Oreochromis niloticus: one gene and its partner. The protein of the gene in region 1 purifies or fractionates together with the protein of each later gene. This does not show direct contact. Links are inferred from orthologs where the notes say so. Each region holds a gene or a part of one and is shown in the gene's direction. Other genes may lie near its edges.

Evidence for each region. Proteins that work in one complex are often made in the same cells at the same time.
Region 2: the proteins of sqstm1 (region 1) and irf3 purify together in Homo sapiens (affinity purification with western blotting; 4 studies listed by BioGRID). This does not show direct contact. The link is inferred for Oreochromis niloticus from reciprocal best matches to the Homo sapiens genes SQSTM1 and IRF3.

The regions. Positions count from the first base shown.
Region 1 is NC_031966.2:36,315,584-36,323,432, reverse strand, and holds sqstm1 (sequestosome-1), read left to right. Parts: upstream 1-4,765; 5' UTR 4,766-4,944; coding exon 4,945-5,107; intron 5,108-5,416; coding exon 5,417-5,512; intron 5,513-5,591; coding exon 5,592-5,944; intron 5,945-6,020; coding exon 6,021-6,165; intron 6,166-6,414; coding exon 6,415-6,483; intron 6,484-6,620; coding exon 6,621-6,757; intron 6,758-6,886; coding exon 6,887-7,076; intron 7,077-7,160; coding exon 7,161-7,318; 3' UTR 7,319-7,477; downstream 7,478-7,849. Other genes in the region: E3 ubiquitin-protein ligase RNF4, read left to right, coding at 1-35, 118-169, 3,525-3,674; uncharacterized protein mrnip, read right to left, coding at 7,521-7,802. UniProt on the Homo sapiens protein: Molecular adapter required for selective macroautophagy (aggrephagy) by acting as a bridge between polyubiquitinated proteins and autophagosomes.
Region 2 is NC_031973.2:18,010,392-18,018,272, reverse strand, and holds the start of irf3 (interferon regulatory factor 3), read left to right. Parts: upstream 1-4,775; 5' UTR 4,776-5,022; intron 5,023-6,504; 5' UTR 6,505-6,506; coding exon 6,507-6,671; intron 6,672-6,857; coding exon 6,858-7,029; intron 7,030-7,367; coding exon 7,368-7,441; intron 7,442-7,561; coding exon 7,562-7,622; intron 7,623-7,732; coding exon 7,733-7,798; intron 7,799-7,881.

The DNA.
Region 1 (7,849 bases):
AGTGCCACCCTCCTGCCACCGACAAACACCTCCAGGTGATACACCGACCCCTACACACTTCTGCAGGTGATACACTGACCCTGTCAGTGACCCCCCTCAAATGTTTTTGTGTTTCAGGTCAACTCCAGGGACAATCAGCTGTCCTGTGTGTCTGGACGGATACTCAGAGGTCAGTCACACCTGTGTGTGTGTGTGTGTGTGTGTGTGTGTGTGTGTGTGTGTGTGTGTGTGTAGGGCTGTTCGATATAACGATATATATCGGATGACGATAGAAAAACGTCTATCGCTTCATTTTACGCTATCGTTTGTTTCGTGGTGTCGCAAAATAAACTGTTTACGGCAATATTTTTTCATCATTTTGATGGTCACTGTAGTGGCTATATTAATTTCTTAAAGTTCTCTCTTTCTCTTATTCTCTTATATTTAATATAACCACACTACAGACGGACAAGCGCTTGTTTTTTATGCGTTTTCGTTAGCAACAACAACGGTAAAACCACCTTGTGTCCGCTTGTTTATTTTCCACATAAACCTTTCACAATAAAGCTCAAGATCCTGTTGAGGCTTTTCAAAATAAAACGAGTCACGTGAAAGATGCAGAGTATTAACGGATGAGAAGCAAAAAAGAGCCGCCAGGTGCTAAAAAATAAACCTTAGACTCAAACGTTAGAACAGACTTTTCTTCGCAGCACGCTGTGTAATAAATACTCACAAAGAAAACGGCGGCTGTTACAACTTACGTCTAAAAATGTATAGTTCCATGCATCAGTTAACACACTCGACTCCAGGTACACGACGCCCAGCTGGAAACACTTCACGCAAGTCGAGATGCCCGAGATTCACAGAATTTACAGGAAATGTTACATTTTTGTAATTTATATCGTTATATCGACGATAGATGTCTTAATATCGGGATATGAGATTTTGGTCATATCGCACAGCCCTATGTGTGTGTGTTCAGACTGTTCAGCATGAATAAAGCAGAAAAATGAACTTTACTGACACAGAGTGCCAGCAGCGAGGTTCTTTCTTTATCCTGCTGCACATGCTCAGTGTGAGCTCCGAGGACGCTTCCTTCAGGGTGAGCGTGCTCAGAAAGTATACAAACACATAACATCCTTATAGAAAATGATGTAACACTATAGATCAACTTACCTCAGAATATATAAAGCATATAAACAATTACAGCAATAGGATGCAACAAACACAGCAGTGCTACTAATCCAAAATACTCAAAGCTTCATAGAACTGAAACAAACATTTATTTTTAGCTCCATTCTGCTGCTGATACATACTTTAGGTTTCTGAATATTAAACTTGTTGCTGCCTTTCATAGTGTGTAACTTGAAGGCCCTGAGTACTTTCTCCCACACTGAAAACACTGGAATAATCAAATGATTTGAACATTACCTAATAAGACTGATTCAGGACAGACAATTAGTTCTTTTAAACTTTCCTAGCAGTCCTTCACAAACAGGGAACAGTCTGTCTATTCTCTCAATCTGTCAGCTGCTGCTGGCTCTTCCTCCTCCTCTTCCTCACACACTGCTGAGTTTGTCCTGGTGGATCATCAGGGGTGCAAAGCCTCACAGATGATGTGCAGCAGTGGGTCCCTCAGTCTGTCCTCACTCTGGACACTTGCAGTTGTCACACATGGAAATCAAATGTGCGATAAGCTGCAGGATTCAAACACAAGTGTAACTTATAAATACATGTTCATACTTTTATTCCACAATCAGAGAGAAAGAAACAGAGAGAGAGTGCAGGACAGACAGACAGGTGACAGTCTCAGGTGTATACACTGCTACAAAACAGCACAAGAGAAGGAGGATTTAGTGTTTGTGTTATTACGAGTACTAAACAAGAAGAGTTCCCAGATGGTCCAGTGGACACATGTGTGACTCCTGTGATTAAAGCATCTTTCTTTCAGCTTAACGAGTGAACCGTCAGCTCGTTCAAACACACGTTAAAGTCCGTTTGGCTCGACGCCACCGAACAGAGGCAGCAATATAACATAGCTAACATTAACAGTGCAGTGAATCCTGCTTGTGCCATCATATTCAGGACTGCAAACCGAGCAGCATTCACTAGCTGTGTCCCAAAACCTAGGCTGTATCCTCCTGAGGCGGCATTTGAACGACGTGAGGTAGGCTGTCCCAAATTGAAGACTCCTCCAAATGCGTCCTTCATTTTCCGAGATTTTGAAGGATGGGTCGGGTGTGTCCTTCGTGGCCCACCGTATCCCAGAATTCATAGCACGGCCCAGTCAATTCCAGTTTAGTTTAATATTACTCTTATTAATCTTTCTGGGTCACAAAATAAACTTTTAACATATTTCCAGGCGAGAAAGTAGCTGTGTAAACTTCAAATATCTGCTTGGTTTATCAAGAAATCGCATAATTGCAAAAGCGCGACGTTTTTGGAGATGTCTGTTACCCACCGGCTCGATAGCTAGCCGGGAGGTCGAGGCTCACTAGAGAACAGCAGACACCCGGCACATCGTTATCAGACCCGCCGCCGTCTTTGGCTACTCAGGTTAAACATGATATACAAGTCATTCAGATAACTTAAATGTTATTTTGTTTGGCTTTTTTCACTGTTTTATTTGTTCCGGAGTAAATCGGTTTGGCTGAGATAAAAGTTATTAGATTAGATAATAAAACTTTATTAATCCATCGGGAGGGTTCCTCGGGGGTTTTCACACAGCTGAATAAACGTCAAACAGAAAACTGATTAAACAAAGTGCGAGATTCAAGATTCAAAGTGTTTATTGTCATGTGTGTAGAAGAAATAGCTTTTCTCTGTGCAATGAAATTCTTCCTTTGCTGTCCATACAGAAGATGGTCGAGATGATCGAGAATTTACTCCAGTGTCCTGTTATATTTTAGATAGCAAGGAGCAGATGGCTGAGTTTATTCATGCCCATCGAGATGGCTGGTGACACAAATCTGAAGGCTAGACCGTCCCCTTTCACAGCCTCTCACTTCCGGCCTTCTCGGTCTTCGGAGGACCCAGCTCACATAGACCACGAAGCCCGGGTCCTCCGAAGGATGCGGCCTAGGAATTGGGACACAGCTAGTGTGAGCTCTGAGTAACCTTCAAGATCGACTTTACAGCCCTCAGCTCGCTGCTGATTTAATGCAGGGGACGCTTCCTTCAGTGTGAGCGTGCTCAGAACAAATTGGTGTTGGTGACTCGAGTGTGTCTAAAAAATAGTCCAGCACAATGCTTGATGAGATGTGTGCTTCCTGAGGCATTGTGGGTAATGAAATACAGGCTTTACTACATTCACATGGCCACTGATCAGTGAACCTAATCAATAAACATACATATCCTGACTCTTATTTTGAAACTTTCAGTGTGGTTTTGTGTTTTACTTTGAAAGTATTACAGTGATGTTTGAGTGCATTGCTCTGATTGGCTGTTGTGGGTTTTGTTTTTTTGTTTTTTGTTGTTTTTTTTTTTAATTTCTTTGTTCGCTTCTTTTTTTCTTTTTTTTTTTCTTTTTCTTTTTTTTTTCGCAGATCGTTGGGAGCGGCCGATTGGTCGTGTCCACCCGTTGTGGTCACGTGTTCTGCAGTCAGTGTTTGAGAGACTCTCTGACATCATCACACACCTGTCCCACCTGCAGGAAGAGACTTACTCACCGCCAGTACCACCCCCTGTACATCTGACATCACTCTGAGACCACAGCTGAGTCCTGCTGCCATTGGACCACAGGCCATGATGTTGATATTATTTGCTGCTGAATTGTATTTTTTTCTTTTTTGTGTGTGCGCCTCTGTTTGGACATTAAAGTGTTCAGTCATAGCTGGTAAACATTATGGATTAATGATTCATGTGTATTGATTTGTTTGTTAAAGCTGAAATAAATTTTGATTTGTTTCACTCATTGATCAGCTGATGGATCTACAAAGTTACGGCAGTAATGTGGAGGAAAAATACTGCACAATGTACTTTCTGTAATCAGAGTACAGGAAGTACTCACACACGCACAGCACTGTTTTAGTCTGACTGTGTGTGTGTGTGTGTGTTGGGGAGGGTGCTTGCACTGATGAATCATGGGTAGTGGATCTTAGTCTTGTGACTCTGCGTCACCGTCTCCTGTCTGCAGTGACTCAGAGTCAGCTGCCTGAAGAGTTGCTGCTGATTGGCCGAGGCTGCCAGAAAAACAGATAAGTTTAATAGACATGAATACAAACGCGTCAAAGATCAATAAATCAGTCAGACCTAAGAACTTGGACACTCGTTCTGAAGTTTAAAACTTTATTTAAAATGTTTACTGGGTGTTTTTAGAGATAAAGGTTAAGTTATCAGTTGAAAGGTTTTATTGTCCAGATCTCAGGATCAGGTTTAAAACGCTTCAGTCACGTGACCATGAGCATATCTTTGGTTTTGATTGGAGAGTAAGCAGCAGAGCCAGAATGATTGATTTATTAATCCAAACCCCGTCAGCTGTGAGCTCTGATCAGTCCGCCTGATTATTGATGATCAGTTTCATGTCGAAAGCCTGCTCTGTGATCAGGTATTGAAACCGTCTTGTAACGATGACTTTGCGATATTTTATTATGAACTTTAAACAGGTCACATGACTCAGGGAAAGTACCTCATTGGAAAGCCGTCGAGTCATTCCTCGGCTGCCATTGGTCCTGTGGGCGGGACTCTGAGAAAAAGCCAATAGAAGGCCGAATCTGTGTTTACTTCCCTGACGTCACATACGTCGTTTCCCACGTCTGTCGCGGAAGTAAACATAAAGCAGAGCGAGAGATTTCAAAGTGCGTCACAAACTCACCAACTCCTGGACCTGGACACCTCTCAGCGGACATAGACAGAGATAAACCCGGCCTCCGGTTGACTATCAGCGAACAACACGCAGACATACACCCAGCCTCCGGTTGACGATCAGCGGACAGAGACACAGGTGTACCCGGTGTCAGTGGCAGGATGTCGGTGACTGTGAAGGCCTACCTGCTGGGGAAGGACGAGGCGGTGAAGGAGATCCGCAGGTTCGCGGTTGATCAGGACGTATCCTGCAGCTTCGAGTACCTGAGCAGGAAAACTGCGGACGTGTTTGGAAACCTGAACAACTTCAACCTGTTTTACCGAGGTGAGCGCGCGGGGGTTCAGATGAGGGAATTACACTCTGATCGCTTCCTGGATTGTTATTGACTTAAGTTGCGACTGTAAGAGTGGGGACGTAACTGAGTTAGTGCGCAGGCGCACACTCACCTGACCAGACTCACCGGTTTCCCTGTAAACGCATGAAACCATAATCCGCTGTTGAATTAATCTTTATTTATAGTCATGTAAACGGACAAACACCCTCAAAGTTAGTCTGGAATTAGAAAGTCACCTGCAGCCTTTGTAGTTCACCAGCGTGTGACTAATGATGATGATGATGATGATGATGATGCAGATGAAGATGGGGACCTGGTGGCCTTCTCCTCTGATGATGAGCTGATGATGGGTCTGGGGTGCATGAAGGACTCCACCTTCCGCCTCTTCATCCGAGGTATGTTTGCGGTTTGTATAAATGTTATTGCTCGCTGTATCTGTCCTCCAGCTGTGCTAATAAAGCTTCATTCTTACAGAGAAGAAGGAGCACAGACGGGACTTCCCTCTCCATGCCTTCCCTCCCTTTGCCTTTGGGCCTCCCCCTCCCCCTGCTGGAGGTCCTCCACCTCCCCATGCTGGAGGTCCTCCACCTCCCCATGCTGGAGGTCCTCATGCCCCGCCCCATGGGCCACACATGGGTCCGCCTCCTCCTCATGTGGCCCCACCCTACGCCATGCACCCCAACGTTACCTGTGATGGCTGCGATGGCCCTGTGATCGGGACCCGCTTCAAGTGTTCAGTGTGTCCGAACTACGACCTCTGCTCCTCCTGCCAGGCTAAGGGGAAGCACACTGAGCACGCTCTACTGCCCATTTGGCATCCACTGCAGGTGAGTCTACCTGTGCAGGTCTGCAGGTGTCCTGTTCAGGCCCTTCAAAACATGACTGTGAGGCTGTGTTTTTCAGTGGTTTCCTCGGGGGAAGTGGATGAAGAGGATGAGACACTGCATGTGGAACCTGAACCAGAACCAGGCTCAGAACCAGGACAACGACCAGGACCAGAACGAGTCTAGCCCTTCTAAACCTGCTGCTGATGCCAACACCCCCTCTGGTGAGTTCTGCCATCTTGGTTAAAGTGATACTTGATCAATAAGTCAGATCAGAGCAGATAAGGTCAGGAAACGATGTACAAGAGGGAAAATGCAGCAACATTTCAAAATAAAAAGGCTGTGTGCGGACTGAATGGTCATGACATCAGAGCCGCGTTTGTGTGGCCCTTTAAACATCCTGTCACAGCACTAAAATAATGTTATGTGTGACATCTGTGTGATTTTAAAACATCTTTCATTTCTCCCTGCAGGCTCTCAGACCAATGTGGACTTCCTGAAGAACATTGGCGAGGGTGTGGCAGCCATGTTGAGCCCACTAGGTGAGTGTCAGCCTTATTTAAACAGTTGTTTGATGCTGTAAGGTAAAGACTAAGACGTCACTGTGTTTGTGCATGTGAGATGAGTGAACATCTCTAGCTGGCTCTAAAACAGGAAGTGGTGCGTGTGTTTTACACAGGTATCGATGTGGACATCGACGTGGAGCACGAGGGCCAACGGACCAAGGTGACCCCACCTACTCAGAGTGGGGGGGGTGAGGGCGATGAGGAGATGGAGCATACGAGCAGTGAGGGCGGGGCCAGTCTGGGAGCAAAGGTAACTTTTATTTTTATAAAACCTCAAAGTGCTTCATGATGTAAATATCAGAAGAAAGAACAATCAGCTGATCCTGACGGGACAGCAGGGAGGAAGAACTCCCTTTTAACATCTCCTGTGACCTTGTAGCGTAGTGACCCTCAGGTGAGCAAGGACTCTGATGAGGAGTGGACCCACCTGAGCTCTAAAGAGGTCGACCCCTCCACAGGTGAACTGCAGTCCCTGCAGCCTGACAACCAGGAGCAGGGGCCCCTGTCTGAGGGGCAGGCGGGCCCCAGCGGGCTGAGGGAGGCGGCACTGTACCCACACCTGCCTCAAGGTAAGCTGGCGTCCACACTCGGTGACTTTAGTTCTGTTAGTACTGACCTCTAAACCCTGCTGACCTCTGACCTTTTGTCCTCAGAGGCCGATCCCCGCCTGGTTGAGTCGCTCGCCTCGATGCTCTCAATGGGCTTCACGGACGAAGGCGGCTGGCTCACCCGCCTCCTTCAGGCCAAGAACTTTGACATCGGCGCTGCGCTGGACGCCATCCAGTATGCCAAGCAGCCCCGCCCACACTAGCACTGATGATATCATCACGATGTCAGAACCTGCATCTGATTATTTCTACTCTGTTGTCTGAATGACAATCAATACTGTCCATTAATCAATGTTTCTGTTCTCTTTATTGATCATCCTATAAACGTTTCTGTGTGAGCAATAAAAGCATGAAGAAAAGCACAGTCTGTCAGAGTCTCCTCTTTAGAAACAAACAAATGCACGGTCACTCTGGGCGACGTTTAACAAGGAAGTCGTCGTCAAAGTTAAAGTCCTCGCCGCTGTCAAACATGGAGGTAACAGGAAGAAGAGGGCGGGGCCTGCTGATTATTCCAGCGCAGGAGGGAGCAGCGACACCGCTTAAAGACTGACTACACTCATGAACTGTAGGCTTCTCCCCCTCCTGCACCTTTGAGTCAGGGCTGAGGAAATGAGCCCACCTGGTGGTGGAGAGGGTGGGGCTACAGGTGTTCATGGTTGAAGGTGTTTGGAGTTTCATACAGTTTAGCTGCAGAGAAGAACAAAGGTTAAAGGTCAAGTGCATGACGAGGAGGC
Region 2 (7,881 bases), on another chromosome or scaffold:
TGTAGTAAATAAAATTGATTTCCTCATCCTACAGACGTCAGTCCCTCCCCAGAATGGCGTCCCCTCCTGCCACTCAGGTGCCATCAAGAGTAGTGGAGAAAGAGGAGAGAGTGGCTCCACCAGTCCAGCGTGAACAGAGGGAGAAAACAAGAACGGCGACCACAACAACCACAACGACGACAAAAGAACCACGAGAGAGGAAAGAGCTCTCAGCTGCTGTGCCTAAAGCTGAGGAGAAGGAGAAAAACCGGGACACCGAGAAAGAGAGGGAAAAGGAGAAGCGGGTGCAGCCGCAGCAGGAGAAAGTGGAGAAACGTGCGGCGGAGCGAGGTAGGACGAAGGAAGACAGGAAAGTGGTGGAGAGGAAGGAGAAGGAAAAGGCCGAGCGACCACCCAAGTCCAAGCCAGCCAAGGTGAAGGCAGAGCCGCCGCCCAAGAAGAGGAAGAAGTGGCTCAAGGAAGTACCTTCATCATCTGACTCAGACTCATCGGACGAGGCAGCTAGCGAAAATGAAAGTGAGACCCTGTTTTAATTCTTTCACTGTAGATGTGTTTGTTTTGGGGTTTTTTTTTCTTATTTTAATTAGAGTGATGGTAGAAGGCTCTGTTTAAAACTGGTTCTCACCCACAGTGCCAGTGAAAGGTGGAGTGAACAACCGTGCCATGAGGGAGATGTTCAGGAGTTACGTGGAGATGCTGGTGAGCACAGCCCTGGACCCTGACATGATCCAAGCCCTGGAGGATACAGACGGTGAGAACCGCACACACATCCTCCTCAACATAATTACCAGTTTTATGTTAACTGAAAAATAAAGAAATAATTATCAGATGCAATTATTAAGTGAGAATCTCTGCTCTAACTGGTCTGGTAGCTCACTTTTCTCTAGCTTAAATATCTGCATTGAAACAACTGGATGTAGGCATTTTCATAAGCAGAAAGTTTGGGCAGGTTGAGTAAACATCACCGTTTCTGTCAAGTATCAACTGCCAGGCTTTAGGTTGAAGCCTCCGGCTGGACAAACAGCCCACACGTTATGAGTTTATGAGCAGTTCAGATAAACCAGTTGTGACAGGTTAGGGGGGGAAGCCCTGGGAGTGCATGAAGTACAGCAGCCAGAGAGACCTGCTTTCAGTTGGCTGCTGGCATTAAAATGATTGGCAGCTACATGAATGATGACTAATGAAACATCTTTTACCTTGATTGGCCATCAGATGAGCTCTACCTCCCTCCGATGAGGAAGATTGACAGCATCCTTAGCGAACAGAAGAGGAGGTTGTTGAGGAGAGTCAGCATGAGCTCTCAACACCAGGTAATCTTCTGTGAATGTGCTGCTTATTTTTCTGTCCCTCTGGCTCACATAATAGAAGGTAATAAAAGTATTTTACACTACTCTGTTTTACCGTCTGTAAAATACACTGATGTTTGTGTTGGAAGAAACCTATTTACACTTTACACAAAGTCAAAGTGTCTTAAGAGGTATTTCATTTTCTTCTGGATGGCTCTTATATCATGTTAGTCACCTCCAGCTTACGATAATGCCATTTCTGCTCCCTGTGCTACTTTTGTTCACCCGAGACTCAGATTGCAGAAGGTTGCCACAACACACCAAAACATTAGTTTGTCATAACAAGAAGATTCTAATGAGGAAAAAAACCTGTTTCGTTTATGGAAATGAGAGGATGCAAATTTAATGACGGATGCCTTAAGGGTAACAATTACCCCTGGTGGTTAAAACTGGTGGATGGATCTCATGCTTGACTTGACATGATGTTGTTTACTTGTTTGAGCTTAAAAGCTGTTAAATCTGCATAAAAAGTATTATATTTTTAACCAATTCATATCTGTAGACATCAGAATTTCAGTATTTTCTTGGTTTAGTTAGGTTTTTATTTGAAAATGTTTTTGTTTTAGTTGAGCTTTTATTAGTTTAAGTGTTACTCCTAGTATTTTTAATTGTATGGAGGGCATATGCAAAGCACTAGACTAACAGATTACTGACACTAAGGGTATTTTCTTAATAATATTTTAGTTTAATTTTTAGTTTAAAAATATAGTATTTTTGTTTTAGTTGACTACAATGGTTTTTCATCCAGTTTTAGTTTTGAGTTTAATTTTAGCCAACTAATAACCTTGGTAGACCCTGTAACAGGATGCCTGCAGGTAAATGAAATTGGTTTAGTTCATTTATTTCATGATCCTCAAACTCGAGGACACTGGTGTTTTTTGTGTGACTGTTTTGTGGCTGTTCCTCACTGCCCCTCTCTCTACAGGAGGTCCTGCATGCTTACCCCCAGATCATTGTGGACCCCCTGGATTCAGGAGTGGTGAGGGTCCGGCTAAGCGGCGATGCTTACAACCGCAAGACCCTCAACAGAGTCAAGAAGACCCTGCCTAAACCACAGGTATGCATTATTTTGTGTTTGCTAAACGCTATGAATAGTTAGAAATCCCAGCATATAGCAGTACATCTGTGCACAGTTCTGTGAAATTTTGTGTGACTATAAATTTTGCCAATCACAAAAAAGCCTTGAACCACAATAGACACTGAAATCACTGCACTGACAGAATTAATCATTACTGTAAAGGGTGGTAGGTGGACACAAACACCTGTTGCAAGTTTCCAAACCCAGAACAGCAACACTTAATTTTACTTTACTTTTTTTTTCCTTAAATAAATAAAATTGACCCCAGCAATAATCCGAGTTCTTTTTAATAGGACCTTAAATTGTCAGCCGAGTCTTATCGGATCTACAGTCTCTACCACTCCCTGCATCATTATAAATACCACACCTTCTTACAGTGCAAGAAAGAGGTAAGAAACCATGTCGTTTCTGTTCATTTTGAAGCTTCTACTGACGTGTGTTTGGTTTGGTTACAATTGTCTCTCCTTCCATCCCATTCTCCCAGACCAACACCATTGAGCAGGCAGCTGAGGACCCAGGCCAAGAGGAAGTGGTGCAGCAGTGCATGGCCAACCAGAACTGGCTGGACAGCCTCTTCAGCTCCTTCATCGAGCTGCTCACGCTCAGCACCAAAGCCTGATTCAGCCACATAAAGACACAGACAGTGAATTAAAGTAAGAGTATTTGAAACAAAAAGAAAATACAGAAAAAGGAAAGAGATGGATCCTACTGTACAGCCCCCTCCCCCTCCCCTCTTCAAATCTCTAAGGCCCTTGATGAACACGAGAGGGTCTGTTGACGTGACCTTGGACACTGGCCTGTTTTTTGTTTTTGTTTTTTTTTATTTGTTTGTTTTTTGTTTTCTTGTTGTTGATCAATGACTAAAGAAACGTCTTACTTTGTGAGAAGGGGACCCCCACTCGTGGTCACGGGGCACCGAAGGGTCAAGAGGAAACTGATTGTTTTACGAAAAAAAAGGGAGAGAGGCAAGGTGGAAGGACAAAGAGGAGGATCGCCAAGTCAACGTGGGAGCCACTGACATCCTGTTAACTGTGTGTCATAAAGACAATAGCTCAAAGAGAAACTATTACCGCTTAGTTTTTACATAAATTATTTTTTGAAAAGACTAACATCAGCTGTTGGCTTTTGAAAAGATTAGAGGAGGGCGAGGATGCTTTTTAAAAACCGCGTGCGCAGCAAGCAGCGTGATCGGGGACTCACTCGTCGGCAGATAGAAACCTGAAATGTGTTAATAAACGCTCTCTCTCTATCGCTATCTCTCATTCTGTGCTATGTGAAGGGCAGCACCAGTCAGCTGTGTGATAATATATAAACACATTTTTATTATTTATATGAGGAGGTTTTTAACTTAAGCTCTCACAAGTGCTGGTTTGCTGCCCTTAATTGCTTTTTTTTTTTTTTTTTTTTTTTTTTTTTTTTAAAAGAGTTGTTTTCCACAGGTTCAGTATACAATCATAACCCACATATCCAAGTCGTCTTCCCCTCTATCCAAAAAGACCAGACGTTGAGACAGACATGTATCAAATACAGTGGGTGTAAAATAACAGCAAAAGGAAAAAAAAAACAAAAAACGGAAGGGAAAAAAGGAGACTGGCAAAAATCTATTTGACTCTTTACATTGTTGTGCTTCAGTTCAATCATCATTCATGCAGGTGCAAAGAAAAAGAAGTAAACTGTCCATCTCCCACGCGGGAAGGAGGAGTATAAACGAGGAATATTTAAACATGAGATAGGCATTTCATTTTTATCATTTTGATGTTTGTGCATACTATGACTTATTTTGAAAACAATCTAATTTTCCATAAAAAAGGAAAAAAAAGATGTGTAAATACTGTACAGTTCTTGATGAAATTCTTTGTCCTTCTGTACATTAACTCTCCTGTATTTGAGAAACAAATAAAAGCTGCAAAGAACAAATGGTTTCATTTCCCTATATATGCACACACATACATATGGCTGTGCATGTGTGTCCATCCATATTAGCAGGGACATTTCAACTTATTGAGACCTTAAGAGGAAGGTCTGTTTGGGTGGCTCTTAAATTTAAAATGAAAGTCCCAGTTTACACAAAAATGTGCTCAACTTCTAGTCCTACTTGGCTGTTTTGACACAAATCAAAAAGGACAGAAGTTTCTGTATTGCAGTTCACCCAGGTATACGTTTTTCGAATTTGGTACCAACCGATGTACTTTCCATAAAGACATTAATTTTCAAAGCAGGGTATTTCCATTTGTCTTAATTGTTTACCTCAGAGGGATTAGATGTGCATTATGCCAGTGTGTGTGTGTGTGTGTGTGTGTGTGTAACCCCTCCTAGCGGGACCAGCTGGTATGAACCCGTCGTGACGTCACATCTGGAAAACGAAACCGTGAACTCGGAGTTTCCCGAGAAAGACTTGTTAGCCGGAAAGCAGCCGCACTCAGGGCAGTGTTTAAAGGATCTGCAGCGGGGACGGTATGTGACAGTTTGGAGCACAGCTTGAAGCGACACGACACACAGCTACCGTACAGCCGTCACTGTACTGATTTCTGCACCCAGGAAACGCTCTGACTTTCAAGTCAACGCTCATCTGCACCGACTGAAACGTCATCACTGAAGGTGGGAGAGTTTTTGTTGTTAGCGCTGGCACCGCTGTCCCAGAGTGGGATCAATACAAAGGTTACTACTATAACTACAGCATTGTTCAAAGACTGTACTCGTTTCCGATCCTGGAGTGTTTGCACTTGAGTATGTTTGGTTCAGGGAGCTGTAAGGACCGCTTATGCTCTACTTTGACGACAGTTAAACAACAAGACTAGCCTAAATAACTGTTATTATTAAAATATGACCTAAAATAATGAAAATAAATGCTGTGTGGAAGATTTTTAGGATTATATAAATACTTTCATATATTAAATTACACTTTAATACATTATAAGCACTTAGTATTTAGTATTATTACACTTTAATACTATTTTATATTATCGTAAGTAATGTCGTTAATTAGTTAATTAATTTTTATAATTACACCGTTTCTACTGTTGCTGAACAGCTGTTGTCTATGTGCCCGCTTCCTCTTTCATGCAACTCAGAATTGGCAATAAAAACCTGTAATCGTCCCAGCTGCACGACAGCTTTCCTGACATCCGGATGTTCATGCTCAGGCATTTTTTCTTCTTCTTAAACCTTTGACAGTCTAATGCATATTTGATCATCTAATTGAAACCTTCATTTAAATTGGGCCCTTTTTTCTGTTAACTCACTCATGCTAATATAATAGTGTCAGTTATAGATTACTTTTTTGCTGTTGCTGCATGAGGTGTGAGACTAAATAGCACCATCTGCAGGCAAGCATGGAATTATAGTTCAAATGAATGCATAATCTAAAAAAGAAAATTAATTATAAATAAATATGAATATACTGTTCTTGAGTATTTTGTTAGAGCACTACTCAATGTAAGGTTTATGCCAAAGTACTGGTAATTACCAAAATATGTATTTTTTTTATATTTCTGTAAATTTAATCAACCAGTCTGCGCTCTTTAATCAAAATCATATTTTTAGTGTAAAAATATAAGTATTGTTGTCATGTGTGATTTTTAAAATGTACTGTTTTACAAAAAAAAGCAGAAAAAGTAGGAAGGTAAATGATTATTTTTGGATTAAGATGCAAAATTACAGTTATTTATTTTCATTCCTGAACAAAAAATGAGTTTGAGTGTTTTTTATGCTTTATTAATTCCTGACTTTCAGAGATGACCAGTGTGCCGATTAAAATTTGGATATAAAAACGTGAATTCAGTTTGTTGTTTACTGAATAAATATGAGTCAAAGTTTTTGAGAGATTTCTATTTTTTTGTTTGTTTTCTTCTTTTTATGACTGGTGAGCTACTAAATTTGTCTGTATGTAAATAATTATATAGATCTAACCTCCAGTACAGACAAGCTATTTTAATGAACTGCCTGAATGAAGGAATAGCCTACATCACATCCAAGTTACTATACAGTGATTGTTCATATGATAGCAAAAGAGTACAGGATCAGTAAGTGGTACATCAGGCTGTGATGACAGAGCTCACGTTATATTTTGTCTTATTGTAGAAATGGCTCATTCAAAACCGCTGCTCATCCCGTGGCTGCGGGAACAGATTAACAGCAACAAATATCCTGGTGTCCAGTGGACAAACCCAGAGCAAACAAAGTTCTGCATCCCGTGGAAACACGCTTTGAGACAGGACTCCTCTGACACTGACATTCTCATCTTTAAGGTAACCATCAGGGTCTGACATGACATGACAATCTAATAGAAACCAGTCATGAGCATGAATTTGATATCAGCTATCCGTCCATCTTCTGCTTATCTCATTCTTTGTCCACTAATCCGTTCTTTGTTAGTCTTTAGCCTGTTCATATCAGCAGTTTCTTCCGGCGTTCATCCTGGTTTTGCTTCGCAGGCCTGGGCGGAGGTGAGCGGCAGCGGCCGGGCTAATGGAGACCCCTCAGTCTGGAAGAGGAACTTCCGCAGCGCCCTACGAGCTAAAGGCTTCAAAATGCTGGATGACAAGAAGAATGACGCTGCTAACCCCCATAAAGTCTTTCAGTGGCCGGACGAGTCAGCGTCAAAAGGTGAGGACCTGCTGACCATTTGGATCTTAGTTACAGTCGATAGAAAGCAAATTCAAAAGAAATTGTTTGCTTATTTCAAGCAAACTCTGCTGTTTTGGCACTCAAAATGCACAGGAAAAAAAAAAGATCAGCAAGATGTTATGCTTTATACTTATTTTATAACTGCAATCAATCAATTTCATATTGCATTTGCAATTTAAATCTGATAATGCAGTTGTGCACCGCATGCTCAGTTCCTGTCTGTCCATGCAGCACATTTTGCATACACTCGTGTCTCTGTATCTCTAACTGACATGTTTCTCAGAAAATAAAATAAATGCTTGTTTTCACTCCTGAAGCTAACTCGTGTGCTGGATCCCAGGAACAAGATGGGGCTGATTTGCTTGCAGGTCTGGGCATTTCCATTCAAGAGGTGAGACTGCTCTGTTGGATTGTTTTACCTGTAATAGGACAGATGGTAACAAAAAAGAGGTATTACTGAAATGCTGGGTATTGATGTAAGTGTATAAGATGTGTATTGGTGTTATCCCAGTCCCAGGGCGTCCACTATTTAGAAGGATGTCTCCTCCTTCCAGAAGACGCTGTGTTTTCGGGTGAGAGCAATCGCCTTTTTCATTGGATTTAGAAGGGGAACATTAGTCTGCCGCTTATTAGCGACAATCGCCATCTGAGTGTGTCTGAACTGGTCCATATCTGCCAGCAGAATCTGCTGCCAGCCCGGATATTCTCCAGGAGTGTCTCAAAGGAATGAACATCGGCCCTGAAGCAGGTAGGCTTATCAGCTCTGCTTATCATTTTCCTCCTCGCTGCTGCTGCAGTCAGAGCAGAAAACAAAGAGTATCCGAGGTACTT